Caenorhabditis elegans: one gene and its partner. The protein of the gene in region 2 interacts with the protein of the main gene of each other region in a pairwise test. Each region holds a gene or a part of one and is shown on either strand. Other genes may lie near its edges. The genes, in order: nepr-1 and cpl-1.

The links.
Region 1: the proteins of cpl-1 (region 2) and nepr-1 interact in a two-hybrid assay, tested with the Caenorhabditis elegans proteins (one large-scale study listed by BioGRID).

Annotation. Positions count from the first base shown.
Region 1 is NC_003279.8:8,395,822-8,401,722, reverse strand, and holds nepr-1 (Transmembrane protein 188), read right to left. Parts: upstream 2,806-5,901; 5' UTR 2,718-2,805; coding exon 2,666-2,717; intron 2,593-2,665; coding exon 2,521-2,592; intron 2,465-2,520; coding exon 2,403-2,464; intron 2,354-2,402; coding exon 2,214-2,353; intron 1,657-2,213; coding exon 1,554-1,656; 3' UTR 1,218-1,553; downstream 1-1,217. Other genes in the region: T19A6.4 (Transmembrane protein 144), read right to left, coding at 222-309; ngp-1 (Nucleolar GTP-binding protein 2), read right to left, coding at 3,272-3,364, 3,436-3,747, 4,081-4,791, 5,030-5,134, 5,737-5,901.
Region 2 is NC_003283.11:16,591,347-16,598,846, forward strand, and holds cpl-1 (Cathepsin L-like), read right to left. Parts: upstream 4,001-7,500; 5' UTR 4,000-4,000; coding exon 3,742-3,999; intron 3,266-3,741; coding exon 3,167-3,265; intron 2,626-3,166; coding exon 2,178-2,625; intron 1,610-2,177; coding exon 1,401-1,609; 3' UTR 1,226-1,400; downstream 1-1,225. Other genes in the region: srh-269 (Serpentine Receptor, class H), read right to left, coding at 168-352, 402-696. UniProt on the Caenorhabditis elegans protein: Cysteine protease which plays an essential role in the degradation of proteins in lysosomes.

The DNA of each region.
Region 1 (5,901 bases), on a different chromosome or scaffold from region 2:
TTAAATACCAACTTTTTAAAAATTTGTGGCTTAAAAAATTTTCCATTTATTTTTATGTTTTGAAGTTGCTTCAATTAATTTTTTCTAAATATTGCAGGTTCTCGAACTTGTCTTCAAATTTTCCAGAATAAAGGATAAGACTTATCCGTCTTAATGCATGCCTACTATCATTTTGTGCGAAATAAAATGCCAAAAGGATTTTAGAAACGTAAAAAACTCACCATCACTTGATGGAAATCTCTTGATAGGTGCAAAAACAGATCCGAGAGTAAAAGTGGCCGTGAGACATGCCAAAATTCCAACAATCATGGTTACAAAACGACAATTGAAATGTGGCTGAAAGTTCAATTAAATAGGAAATATATGTCATAGAGGGCGGACAAAAGGGAGTCTGGTTCAAATGGTTAAACTTTTGAGGACATTATTTACATAAACCCTTAGAGAAATAGGAGCACAGTTCGCAGTTTTTGAATGTGGAAATACAGTTTTGAAATCATTAAAACATGGAACAATGTATATGAAAATGTAAATTTTAAAAGAAACAAGTTGAAGTAAATGCATTTGTTTGAATACAGTAATATTTTAAATATTTACTCAAATAGTAAGTATGTATATATATATATATATACTTTGAATTACAATGAAATACGTTTTGAAAAACTGAAAAAAATCATACAGCCAAGATAGGGGCGGTCCAATCTTGACATATTATGTGTGAACGGTGTTTTTTTGAAATTCTAACAGCTGTTTTTAATGAACCAATCGTAAATAAATTATGTGTGTTGATTAGTAATATCCATCGATTTCTTCACATTGTTCTGGCACAATCCATTCGTGTTTTTGCCAGAATTCAAACGGTTTATGCTAATTTTTTGGTTAGAGACTGCAAATTTTCAACCTCAATTCTCAACATTTTCAGAGAACAATCATTTGGAATTATGGAAGAATATTACTTGTTCCCTATATAATTCATTTATTTTTCGTCAGAATCACTCATCAGTTTACTATTCGCAAGTTCATCGAAACATGTTTTTCCATCGTACTCTTCAAACCGAATAACTTTCCAAAGAACAGTCTGAAATAGTGAACCTTTGGGGGTACCGGAATAATTGAACATACATACAAAATTTGAACTTATAGCAAACTTATAGGACCTAGGTCCTATAATTTGAAAAAAATCAGTGTTTCGTGCTAATCTCCCCAAAAAGACAACGAGTTTTTATAAAAATTTACTGATAAAAAACAATATTACTTAGATCTCCAGAAACATGAATGAATACAATAGCACCGTTGTAAATTCGGCTGTTTCTAAGAAAAGTTGAATTTTTTGAGCTATTCGAGTCACGAAATTCAAACAAAAAACACGACTCCATGAATGGGCGGGGAAATAGGAAAAATAAATACAATTTGAATCACCATATTTTACACATATAAGTCGGAACAAGAGAAAAGTAGGAAACGGTGGCAAAAATAATCAAACTACGGGAGGAAAACCTCACCAAGATCAATTATTTTTTAATGAAAGAGAATCTTGGGTGTACACCTCGATAGTATTATGGAGCAGAATTACGAACTGCTGGCTTCACAATGAGTTTCCCGTTATGATCACAACTCAGACTGAATGGAGACAGAGCATCACGACATCGGCGAGCAACACTGAAAGTATTGCATTTGTATTTTTATTGGAAAGGTAATGTCTGAGCGGTTTTGTGAGCAGATAAATTCGGAAAAGAAATTTTAAAATACTTGAGTTTTGTACTATGGGGACGCTACTTTCCGAAATCGACGTGAAAAAGCTCCGCCCCCAAACTATGGGTCTCATTAGGAATTTGGCGGTAAAACGTCAATTTAGGCGTTTTCAATTAGATTCACCAATTTCAGAAATTTTCAGGGAATTTTCAAGAAATTTTCGTTATGTTCTCCGGTGCTTTTTAATGATTTTTATTCCGAAATTGTTGCAATTAAATTAATAATCGAGCGAAAAAAAATCATATTCAACATTACAACCTAAAAATAATTTCAAAAGACGAAACATGCTTGAAAATTGGTAAAGAAGTCTTTTATAGCTTTTCCAACAATATATTAATTATAAATATATTTTCTGAATGTTTCTCCGCCATAAGCCTAGCTTTTTTCGAGATAAAAACCTACGATTTTAATATAAATTCAAAACAAAATTTTGCCGAGAAAACTTCTAAAATCTTTAAACTCACATCGTGGGTGCAACAATTCTCCTGTGAACACCAAACACGGCAAACAAGAGAAGACCGACGAAAAAGCAGAGAGTAAAATCGAGATGAGTGGTGAGAAACATGTCGATCATCGGAATTTGGAAGATTTCAATTTTCTGTAACTAGAATATTCATGTTTTTGAGTTTTACAAGATTTATCTAAACACTTACCTCATTGGCAAAATATTTCGAACCGATGACGCCGACAAGAACCGCAAAGATGACGATTGCGACTGAAACTGTGAAAATAGGCATAAAATAGGCATGTTCCATTGGCTAGACAACTTACTTCTCCATCGAGTACATGTTGGTCCCATATATGTGATCACTTCTGTTAGCCGTTTTTCAAAGAATTTCAGATCTGGAAAAATTAAAATCAATACTTTGAAAATTCACAACAATTCCAATTCTAAAATACATAAATTCTTCCTAACCTTCGCATGCCGTCGATGGATCCTCGGGCATTCTTCTGGCCTGAATCGCCATCTCTGGTGCTGTTTAGTGATGTAACTAAATACGGACAGAAAAACGTTCGGCTTTAATTCGACTTCTCAATCAGTATTCTCTCGATTTTCTGAAATAATATATATGTATTCCCACAGAACTAAAAATATTTTTAGGAACGGGTAGTTTTTGAAAGTCATAGACATTTTCTGAGAAGTCCAAGTAATAAATTTTTGGGAATTTTTTCATAACGCGTTTTTCAAAAAATCAGAACTAGTTTCAAATATTCAAAACCACCGTTCAATGTTCTTTTAAAATATCTAAAGAGTATGTTAGTCTTGTAAAAACCCAATAAAGTGTTAGAAATATCAAAATAGGAGATCAAACCAGAAAATTATTCAAAAAAAAATCCATAAAAATTGACAACAAAATTTCTTCATTGAAGTGGTGAACGTATTTTGAACAAGTTATCAGAAAATGGTTTACAGAACGGGAAACAGTAGTCAACAATAATGATAAAATGAAACGAAAAATTAAAACAGAAAAAAAAAACTTTAACAATAAAAGGGATTAACAAAAAAAAACAATGAAGTCATCTATTTCTGATGCTTGACCTTTCGTCTTTTCTCCAACTTCTTTCTCCACATGTTAGTCTTTGTGGCTCCTGGTTTCGCGAATTCGACGACGCTCTAGAATTTGAAAATTTAATATTTTACCATTGAAAAACTTTGAAATTAATGCATCAAACAATTATTGTTACCTTGTCCTTCTTTTCCGACGCGGCCTGAACGATAGTCTTTCCGGATAATTTAGCCTTATTCGCCTTCTTTCCTCCACGCTTTCCACGTGTTCGTACGCTCGCCACATCAGTCTTTGATTTCTTTGTCTTAGAATCACTGGACGATGGCTTTTCATCATCATCGGCCACATCATCAGCATCTGACAAGTCTCCAGCCAAATCACTGATTCCAGAAAGATCTGTGAGTCCAGAACAGGTTGATCCAATTTCTGTCAGTTCTTCCTGTTCTTCATCGTCAATTGCTTCGTCATCATCCTCATCTGGACCTCCATTCTGAAAAAAAATATTGTACTTTGGTATTACAGGTGGATTTTTGCTTCAAAAAATTTAAAATTGTCTTAATTTCAGAAATATCAGAAAAGAAAAACGAAAAATCGGGGAATACAACTTGAAAAACACTTTTTTTTGGCTAAATTTCCAGTTCGAATTTCTTGCAGGAGGGAATTCAAACAGGTAATTTAGCGAGTTTTGAAAATTCGAGTTTTTACTTGGAGTTTTCAGTCTTCCTCGATTTTTTTCTGATTTTCTATTATGGCATATCTGAATTTAGGATTTTTGAAGTAATATACTTATTCAAGCTTCACAGTTATTTAAAAAAAAACTCACTCTTGCCACATCATCAAGCTCGAGTTGAGCATCCAAAGGCAATTGCTCATCGTCATCAGCGCACATTTCATTGATTGGTGCTTGAGAAAAGTCCTTTTTAGCTCGCTCTTCACATCCTGGCGGAGGTACAAAGTATGGAAGCTTTCCTCTCTGGAACTCATTGAGCACAACTTTAGAAACTGCAACAATATCAGGATCTCCTCCTTTCAACAAACGTCCTTGTTTGATAGCAATCTTCGTGAGAAAATCGTCAACATCTGTGAATTCTGGAATACCGTATTGACGGCGAAGATGTTCCGGTTTGCATCGATCTAAGACTCCTTGAACATGATTCTCCGGATCCTTGACATTTTCGACACGAACAACTCCTTTCAGAATAATCTGTGTCTCTGAATCTCCTTGTGGATAGACAACTCCTGGAGAGTCAATCAAATAGATTCTACGCATCAACATGACATATTGCCAAACTTTGGTTTCTCCAGCAATCGGAGCTGTTTTGCACACTTTTTTCTTGCGGAGTGTATTCACAAGTGACGATTTTCCGACATTCGGATATCCGATAAAACCGACACTGATCTGTGGACGGTCTGGATGAAGTTTTGCAAATTGACGAAGAAGATTGATAACTGCTCCTTTTCCAAATGAGTTATTGATTGAAGCATGGAAGGCAATTGTAGGCATTTCTTTTGACAATTCTCCGATCCATTTTCTCTGAAATTAAATTAGTTATGGTTGCGGTTAAAGATGTTTCTTTTTTTAAAAGTTTTCTTCGAACAAAAGTGAGCAAAAAATCTGCTAGTCTGTCGTTTACTTCAAAAACATGATTTTTTGTTTTTCCGATATTTCGAAAAATAGCCCATATTTTTGGCGCAAATACTTTTTAAATTTCGAAAAAAAAATTCGCTTAAAATTTTTTCGGAACTTTTTCCTAATTGTGAAATGAACTCACCGTAACCCAAGTTGGAACAAGATCGACCTTATTGATAACAGTTACAAGATGCTTGTGAGGCTTTTCCTTTCTCAAAAACTCCTCGACGTGTCGACAACGAGTTCCCTGAAAAAATTATGTTGTTTCCGATTTTTTTTCCTTAAAATACTCTGCATAATGGCAACATTTTCTATATCAGCAAAAGAAAACGGAGAAGTCGTAAAACTTTTATTGCCACTTTTTTCTTTTTAAATTTCTCTATGAAATACGATGATTTTTGCGTCCTGCACTCACCTAGCGGTGGCGATAACGAAAAAATAAAATTTCAGAATTCATCAGTACAAACAAGCTTTCTCTTGTTTTTTTCTTTCTTTTTCATATTTTTTGTTGTGCACGCTGGCTCACAAAGAGAAAGGACGACTAAAACGGAGATGAAGTGGGGGAGAAAAAAAGAAGAACAAGAGGCGAAAAAAAGCAGGAAAAACACTAAACTTGTGAACGAACGTTATGTGCCTTCTTTCTAAGTTGGCAGACAAGAATATACCACGATTAACGCTTTCTCAGTGACTTTTTTGTACTCATGAGTGCCGTAGTTTTTGAAACTTTTGCGTTGAATATTTGAAAATTTGGTAAAATCGTAAAAAATTGGAAACTTCTATAAATGGTTTAAAGTTAGCCTCATAACCTTTATTTCTGTGAAAAATCTCCAATTTATCTAATTTCCTTACCATTGGATCTCTGGCATCAACGACTTGAACAACGACATCAGACGAGTCAATAACCTTGTAGAGCTCTCCCCAAACTCTGTTACTCTGTCCAGCACGGAACAATGGATTCATGTTTTCTGGGCGATCTCCAAGCTCCTTTTCTCTGCTCAGATCAAGCTCTGGCTT
Region 2 (7,500 bases):
TATTTGGATTGGAGAATAATGGACAAAAATGACACAAATGCACTTGATGGAATTTTTCAGTTTAACACTCAAATTTCATTGTTTCAGCGCGGATTCATTAGGCCTAATTTTAAATCTTTATATCATGCACTTTCAATTTCCTTTGTCATTATTTTATAGTCACTTACCTCTAAAACTTCCGCGAGCGCTGCCTCTTGCTCAGGAATCATTAAATAAGAAGGTAGAAAGCAGAACGCTGACGCCAGATATAAACTGGTAAGGAACGGAGTCCGAAAATATTTCCATCTCCGGAAGCGTGCAAACATCAGATAGTACCGATTTTCGAGAAGTGTAGTGATCGAAACTCCGACCGCTGAAACAAGCAGTGTTCCGGTTGAATGAGCACAAAGAGCACAACTCACTTGGAAACAGGGATACGATGAGATAAAGCTGGAGTTTTTGAGGAACTTTAACAAATTCCAATAATCCTAAGGATCTACCAACTACTGCTGGGAACAATATATATGGAATCACCAATATACTAATTGTCAAGTCAAGAAAAACACTCCAAAAGTGTAAGTTTAACATTGACCACTTGACTGATTTCATAGTAATCGGAGTTTTACACAGAATACAATATGCTCCAAAAATGTGCACGGGGACCTCTACGCAGGACATTATATGTAATGAAGTAGACAAAAAATTTGGGGTGTCCATGTTGAGATTAAAAGTTTAAAACAAAATATTTGAGAGGCAGGGAAACTTATAGCTCGATGAATAACACGCATAGAATGAATTCGAGGGGAAAAAGTAAAGAGGTGGATAATTATTGAAAAATACGTGCAAATTGAACCCCTTGGGAAAGAACATCAGTCTACTTTCTGAGGTTAGAAACTGCGAAAAAAGAGCATAGGTCCCACCGAGATTTGAACTCGGGTCGCAGGATTCAGAGTCCTGAGTGCTAACCGCTACACCATGGAACCGCGGTGTACAGCGGCGGCAAATGTTTGTAATGAGAGAGGGTTAACAATCGACAACCGCTGCTTTGCAATGTTTATTTAATTTTTCGTGGGGGACTTTGATTGACTAGGCAAGCAGGCAGGGGCGTAGACACGCTAAAAAGGACGTCACAACTTGGTGTCTGAATTAAAAGCGAAAACGAAAACTATAATTCAAATTTGTTACGAGCTAATTATATGCTCTTACTATTTCCTCACTTGTTTTTAAGACAGAAAAATGCAAAACTAAATTCAAAAATCGTTTATGTACACCACAATTTGAAATACATAATTATAGATATTAGAGAAATTCCAAAAAAATACAGAAAACGAGGTAAAGCTTGACAGAAAAGAGTCAAAGAATTGCAATTCGGGGCTACAATTAAATTTTCCAAAAAAAAAAATTAATTATTAAGTTCAAATTTAGACCAATGGATAACTGGCCTTGGTGGCGACTCCGCAGTGATTGTTGCGGTTACGGGCGATACGGATGTATCCCTTCTCTCCCCATCCAGCTCCCCACGAGTTCTTGACAATCCAGTAGTCTCCGTGCTCTGGGTCGGTTCCGTATCCGACGAGAAGCACTCCGTGGTCGAGCTCTTCGGATGAGCATTCCTCATCGTAGTAGACTCCTGAAAATGGATGATATTCGGTGGAACTTAGGCTGAGTTTATGCTGTAGGCCTAGTTTTAGGCCTAGGCTTAGGCTTTGGTTTAGGCATTTGTTTAAGCTTAGGCTTATGAGCTAGGCTTGGGATTAGACTCAGGCTTAGTCTTGAGCTACGGCTTAGACTCAGGCTTAGGCTTAAGCTTAGGCTCAGGCTTAGGCTTAGGCTTTCGCTTAGGTTTAGGCTTAGTCTTAGGCGTAGGCTTAGGCTTAGGCGTAAGCTTAGGCTTAGGCTTAGGCTTAATCGTAAGCTTAAGCTTAGACTTTGGCCTAGGCTGATGGGGTTATACTTTGCTACTAAACAATTTATAAATTCCTTCACCACTTTCACATTCAAGTTCGAACCCAAACTATTATTGTCAAGAGGGTATCATTCAAAAACACGAGTTCTCTTATCACTATTGCCCTCTCTGTCTCTGATGAAAAACCCGAGTAACTAGCTTTCTTATCATTATCATCCAAAATGCAAATAAAACTGACCCGTCAATAAAAACTAGTACCCCCCCCCCCCTCACATCTTCCCACAAAACATACCCTTCTTGTAAAGTTGGAAGCTGCGGTGTCCGGCGTCGATAGCAATAGAGATTGGTCCTTGGGTGGCGACAGCGATCTTAAGTTGCTCCTCATCTCCTTCTGGGGTGTCAACGTATCCCTTATCATCAGCTCCGACGGTCTTCTTGTTGAAGTGACACTTCATGTCACGTCCCTTGTATGGGTATGACTCCTCGGTGTCGACACCATGGTTGTCACGAATGTACTCGAAAGCTTGATCCATGAGTCCTCCGTTGCATCCGTGGTTTCCGTACTTGGTAGAGCAGTCGACGAGGTTTTGCTCGGAAAGGGAGACGAGTTGTCCCAGCTTGCGAGCGTGTTGTCCTTCGAGGGCTCCGGTGGCGGAGAAGGCCCAGCACGATCCGCACATTCCTTGGTTCTTGACATCAGTGACGAGGTGGGTATCACGCCAGTCAACCTCATCTGGGACCTGAAAATTGAATAGGTTTAGGCTTGAGTTTAAGCTGAGGGTTTGGTTTAGCCGAAAGCTTGGGAAGCTCAAGCTTATGCTAAGGCTTAGGCATAGACCAAACTTCTTCCTGGACTGAGCCAAATCCATCAACTCACAATCAGTTTCAAGCCTAGGCTTAGGCTTAGGCTGAGGCTTAGGCTGAGGCTTAAGCTTAGGCGTACACTTAGACGTAGGCTTAGATTTAGGCTTAGACTGAAGCTCAGGCTTAGGCTTATCCCCTAGAAGTTCATCACAGCTCTAAGCTCTGGTGTTCAAATTTCAGCAAAAACAGTTCTAACCATTTGAATCTTGTTTTTAAACATTTCGGTGACCAAAACATTGCGAAATTCAATTTTCAAGCGTATCAATCATCAGAGATGATAATTCAAAAAATACGGTCAGCGAAGAATTATTTTTATCGGTCGTTGAAAACGTTTTTGTTTATGCAAATAGTTTTATAGTTTTGATCGACGAGAAAGTTAGTGTCTGGACCCCAACAAAACCCCTCTCAAAAAATTACCTGAACATTGAATGGAGCCAAGAAAGAGGAGGAGTTCTTGATTCTGGAGTCACCGAAGAGACGTCTGTAACCGTTGAGTTTGCGGTATTGGCTGAATGGCTGAAAAAAACAAGAGTTTGAAAATCAAATGACCTTCGTGTGTTTTGTCAGTGTGGTGGTGTGATAAGCCAGCTGTTGGTCAGTCACGAGACGAGGATTTCATATCTTTATCTTTTTTTTTCTCGCTGGGTGAGATTTTGATAGTGGAACGAGACAGAGAACAGCTTTTTGAAGTTTTTATAGGGGGTATTTATTTTCTTATCTGTCGAAATTAGGAAATGCAAAAAAGGAAAACTTGAAAATCCTCGCTTTAGGAACTTGGGACTCCGGAGCTCCAAACTTGAGATCCTTGGGCTCAAAAATTGTGATCCCGGAGCTCGTTACTTAAGAACCGGAGCTTGAATTTTGAAACCCCGCAGCTCAAAACTTGGGACCCTGGAGCTAGAGACTTCGGTCCTCGGAGCCAGAATTTGAGTCCCCGGAGCTCAAAACGTCGGACGCCGCAGCTCATGGTGCATTGAAATGCATATTCTTACCAAGTCAGCAATATGATTCAATCCCATCTCGAATGTCTTTCTTCCGAGTCGGTGATCTCTGTTGTGATTCTCAATATGGATCATATTCTTGACAAATGCCTCCATATAGGTCTGCTCCTCGCTCTCCGAGTACTCCTTATCAAAGTCCTCCTTATAGTCGTCCCATTTCTCGATGGCCGACTCGATTTGACGGGACAGCTTGGCCGAATTGACGGCGACGACGGCGGCAACCAGTGCCAGAAGAATGAATCGGTTCATTCTGGAATTTTATAACATTTAAAATTAATTTGAAAATTCTACAAAAAGCAGGGGAAACACGAAAAAATATGGAAATGGAATAGGAACTACAATGAACACCTCCCGAGGCGAGTTTATGAAGGATCCTAAAGTAGGCGGGGACAGCGTCAATCAGTGCCAGGACGAGTGTGAGGAGAGAGATGGAGAGGCGGAGAGAAACAGAGAGCGATCAAACCATCAGGTTATCAGTCAACTGATAATAGAGGGAAATTAGGGGTGAAAGTGCTTGCTCCGGTGCTAGGAGCTCAGAATAGTACAGAAATTGGATGATTATCATAATAGGGTTAAGTCAGATAAGCATGTGATCAGGGATAAGTGTTTCGAAAAACGGAAGTTTTCGAGCGGAAGTTTCCGAACTTCTTGAAGTATTGAACATACAGAAAATTAAGGTTTTTGTAGTTTGTAGTGCCCCCAAAGTTTAGAAAACTACCAGTTTTGCTAGAAATGTTTCCAAAACCGAGAAAATTGTTCGCCTTTTAAAAGTGTCAATTATTGGAGTTTAACCGCAAAATTCCAGCAATTTGTGTCAATTTCTACTGTTTTATTGACGTTAGGAACAGAAACTTCCATCAAATTTTGCTCTTTTTGAAGTATGAACTTTTTTTTCGGTTTTTTTTCCAGAAATTTTCAAAACTTTTCATTACGAAATTCGGTAGTTTTTAACGATTTTGGGCCCCAAAAAGCAATGTCTCAAAATTTTATAAGTGGTCCTTGACTGATGTCGGCTGCTTTTTTAGCAAAGGTCAAACTACAAAGTGAGTCAAGTTTTTTAAAATTAACTTTGAAAAAACAGGGGGAAAAAGGACAGAAAACAAACAAACAATTAGGTCACTTTAACAGGTGGCCAACAATGTAAATAAATTGTTTCGCATTCTAAAGGATTTCCAAACAAAAAACTTAGGAATGAAAAACGAGAAAATAAATGTCATCAGCAAGAAATTACATAATCATCCAGCTATTGATAAGATACCTGGTGAAGACGGTGAGATAATCTACGGGAATAAGGAATGATAATGGGAACCTGTTTTTTTTTTGGAGTGGGGAATGGCAGACTTGAGATGTTCTAAGCAATTTTTTGAAATCGACAATTGTTTAATCTTGGGGAAATAGGGAAAAAAAGAGATTTCGAAATTTGGAAATTTCAAAATCTCAAAAAATGCTGTAACTCGTATGAAGTTTTTTATAACTTTCAGCACGTGAATTTCGAAATTCAGTAATTTAAAAACTCAAAATTCAACTAACTAACAAGAAAAATGTAAGAAAAATTATAATTGGAAGTTCTCACTTTCAGACATTTTTCGATACAAAATTCAAAGTTTCAGCACCTAAAAAATCGTAAAAAAATGAATTTAATTTATTTTCAAATAAAAAAAAATTGAAACTTCAGATATTTTCCCATAAGAAATTCAGATTTTGAGACGTGTTCACATAAAAATTTAAATTTCAGACGGGAAAGGAAAATCGTTACGTATTTTTCAATAGAATTTCATAAGTTCATACAATTCTAAACATGGAAGAAATAAAAATGCCGCCAATTTCAATATGGAAATTCAGATTTTGAAGAATTTTTAATAAGTACCTTTGAAACTTCAGACATTCTTGCACAGGAATCTCTAAAATTTTTGTCATTTTTATATGAAAAGTTTGAAATTTCAGACGTTTTCAGAAAATAAATTTTAATTTTCAGAAATTTAGAACTGAATATTGAAGTTTTTTTCGGGAGAAAAGTGTAAAGTTTCAGTAAATTTTTAGATGCAAATAACTTTTTTTTAATTTGGACATATTTAAATAGAAATACTTAAACTTCCAGTTTTTATTTCGAAGGCAAAAATGAAATTTCTGGCCTCAAGAAAAATTATATCAGTAACATTCAGTACAGGTTTTCTAACCAAAACAATATCCATCTACATATATTCAAAAAGACTCGTAAACCTAGTTAAACGATGTGTTGTTGGCAGAGATAATAGCAATGTGTCGTAAAACAAAAATCGATCCTGACAAGGAAAGGAAGTCAATCTAGTATCGGACTTTAAATTGAGACGCATGTCATTTGAAAGCTTATGGTTAGCCTAGATCACCACAAAAATTTTAGCGGCGGAACTCAACTCTGAACCCCTGAAAGCGCCATCTGAAAATTTTTCTCTGCGCCCTCCTAGTTTTCAATACTATTTCGTATTTATTCATTTTACATATACAAAAATCATCTTCAATATTTATAAAATGGTTCAAAACATTGAAAACAATAAAAATCAGGGATTGATGGCCAAATGGTAAATGCTTGGTAAAACGGAATAAAGGTCTCGTGTTCGATTCTTTCAGTGGCAATTTTTTTTTTAATTTTTAAAAATTGCAATCGCGCCCTGAATTTTTATAGCTAACTTTTAAACATTTTATTTAGTAAAAATTAATTGCATGTGAACCAAGGAACCATTTAATTGAATAATCTCAAAAAAATTTTTTTTGGGATTTAAAACTTTCGAACTCAAAATTTCCAGTCCCATATATTTGACCGAAAGTAGGAGCATGGCTTGTGTTTGGGTAATGTAATATGTTGCACCGATGCTTTTTGAAGGTTTGAATATGGCTTCGGACCTTTTTGTGAAAGAAAAACGTTTTCAAAGGTACATCCATTACATATTTGAAGCAATTTTTAAGCTTAAAAACCACCTCATATTCGGTGCAAAGGGCTCAATTGGAAGAAATTTGTACCTTTTTATATGCCCCGATACAAAAAAATAGTTTTGAAAATTTTTCAAAAAAAAAATTTTTTTGACCAAAAATTTGGCTTCCATTGGACCGCAAAAATTTCAGATTTTTTGCAAAAAAATAAAAATTTCCAAAAAGCTTCCACATCCTTTGTTTGACCCTAAAGACCCCCAAAAACAATTTTTAACCGCTCATAGCCACTTTTAAGGCCATTTACTTGACCTAGAATTCAGCAAAAAAATGCACTGGAGCACTTTCAGATGGCTCTTTCAGGGGTTCAGAGTTGAGTTCCGCCGCTAAAATTTTTGTGGTGATCTAGTCTAAACATAAGCTTTCAAATGACATGCGTCTCAATTTAAAGTCCGATACTAGATTGACTTCCTTTCCTTGTGAGGACCAAAGAGTCCCCCACAAACTAATAGTCCACTCATTCGGCTCCGTTTTATAGTCCTCACAAAAAGAGGGGGTCTCGTTTTCGAAGAACAATCGAGAATATTCGTAAGACACATTATGTGCACGTGATGATGGACCCTCTTATATTACACTGTGGCAGGCGGCCGGCAAGATAAGATCAGGTGATCATAGAGGTGGGGGGGGGGGGTCAAAGTAGAACATCTGGAAGTGATGGGGTGTCTGGAAACATCTGGTTGGAAGGGATGGGGTGATGGTGGGAAGATTTTGGAGTTTGAGATTGGTTTTTTGTTTGGCTTGAAAGGTTTCTTACAAAATTGAGAAAAAATATATAGAATTTTGGAA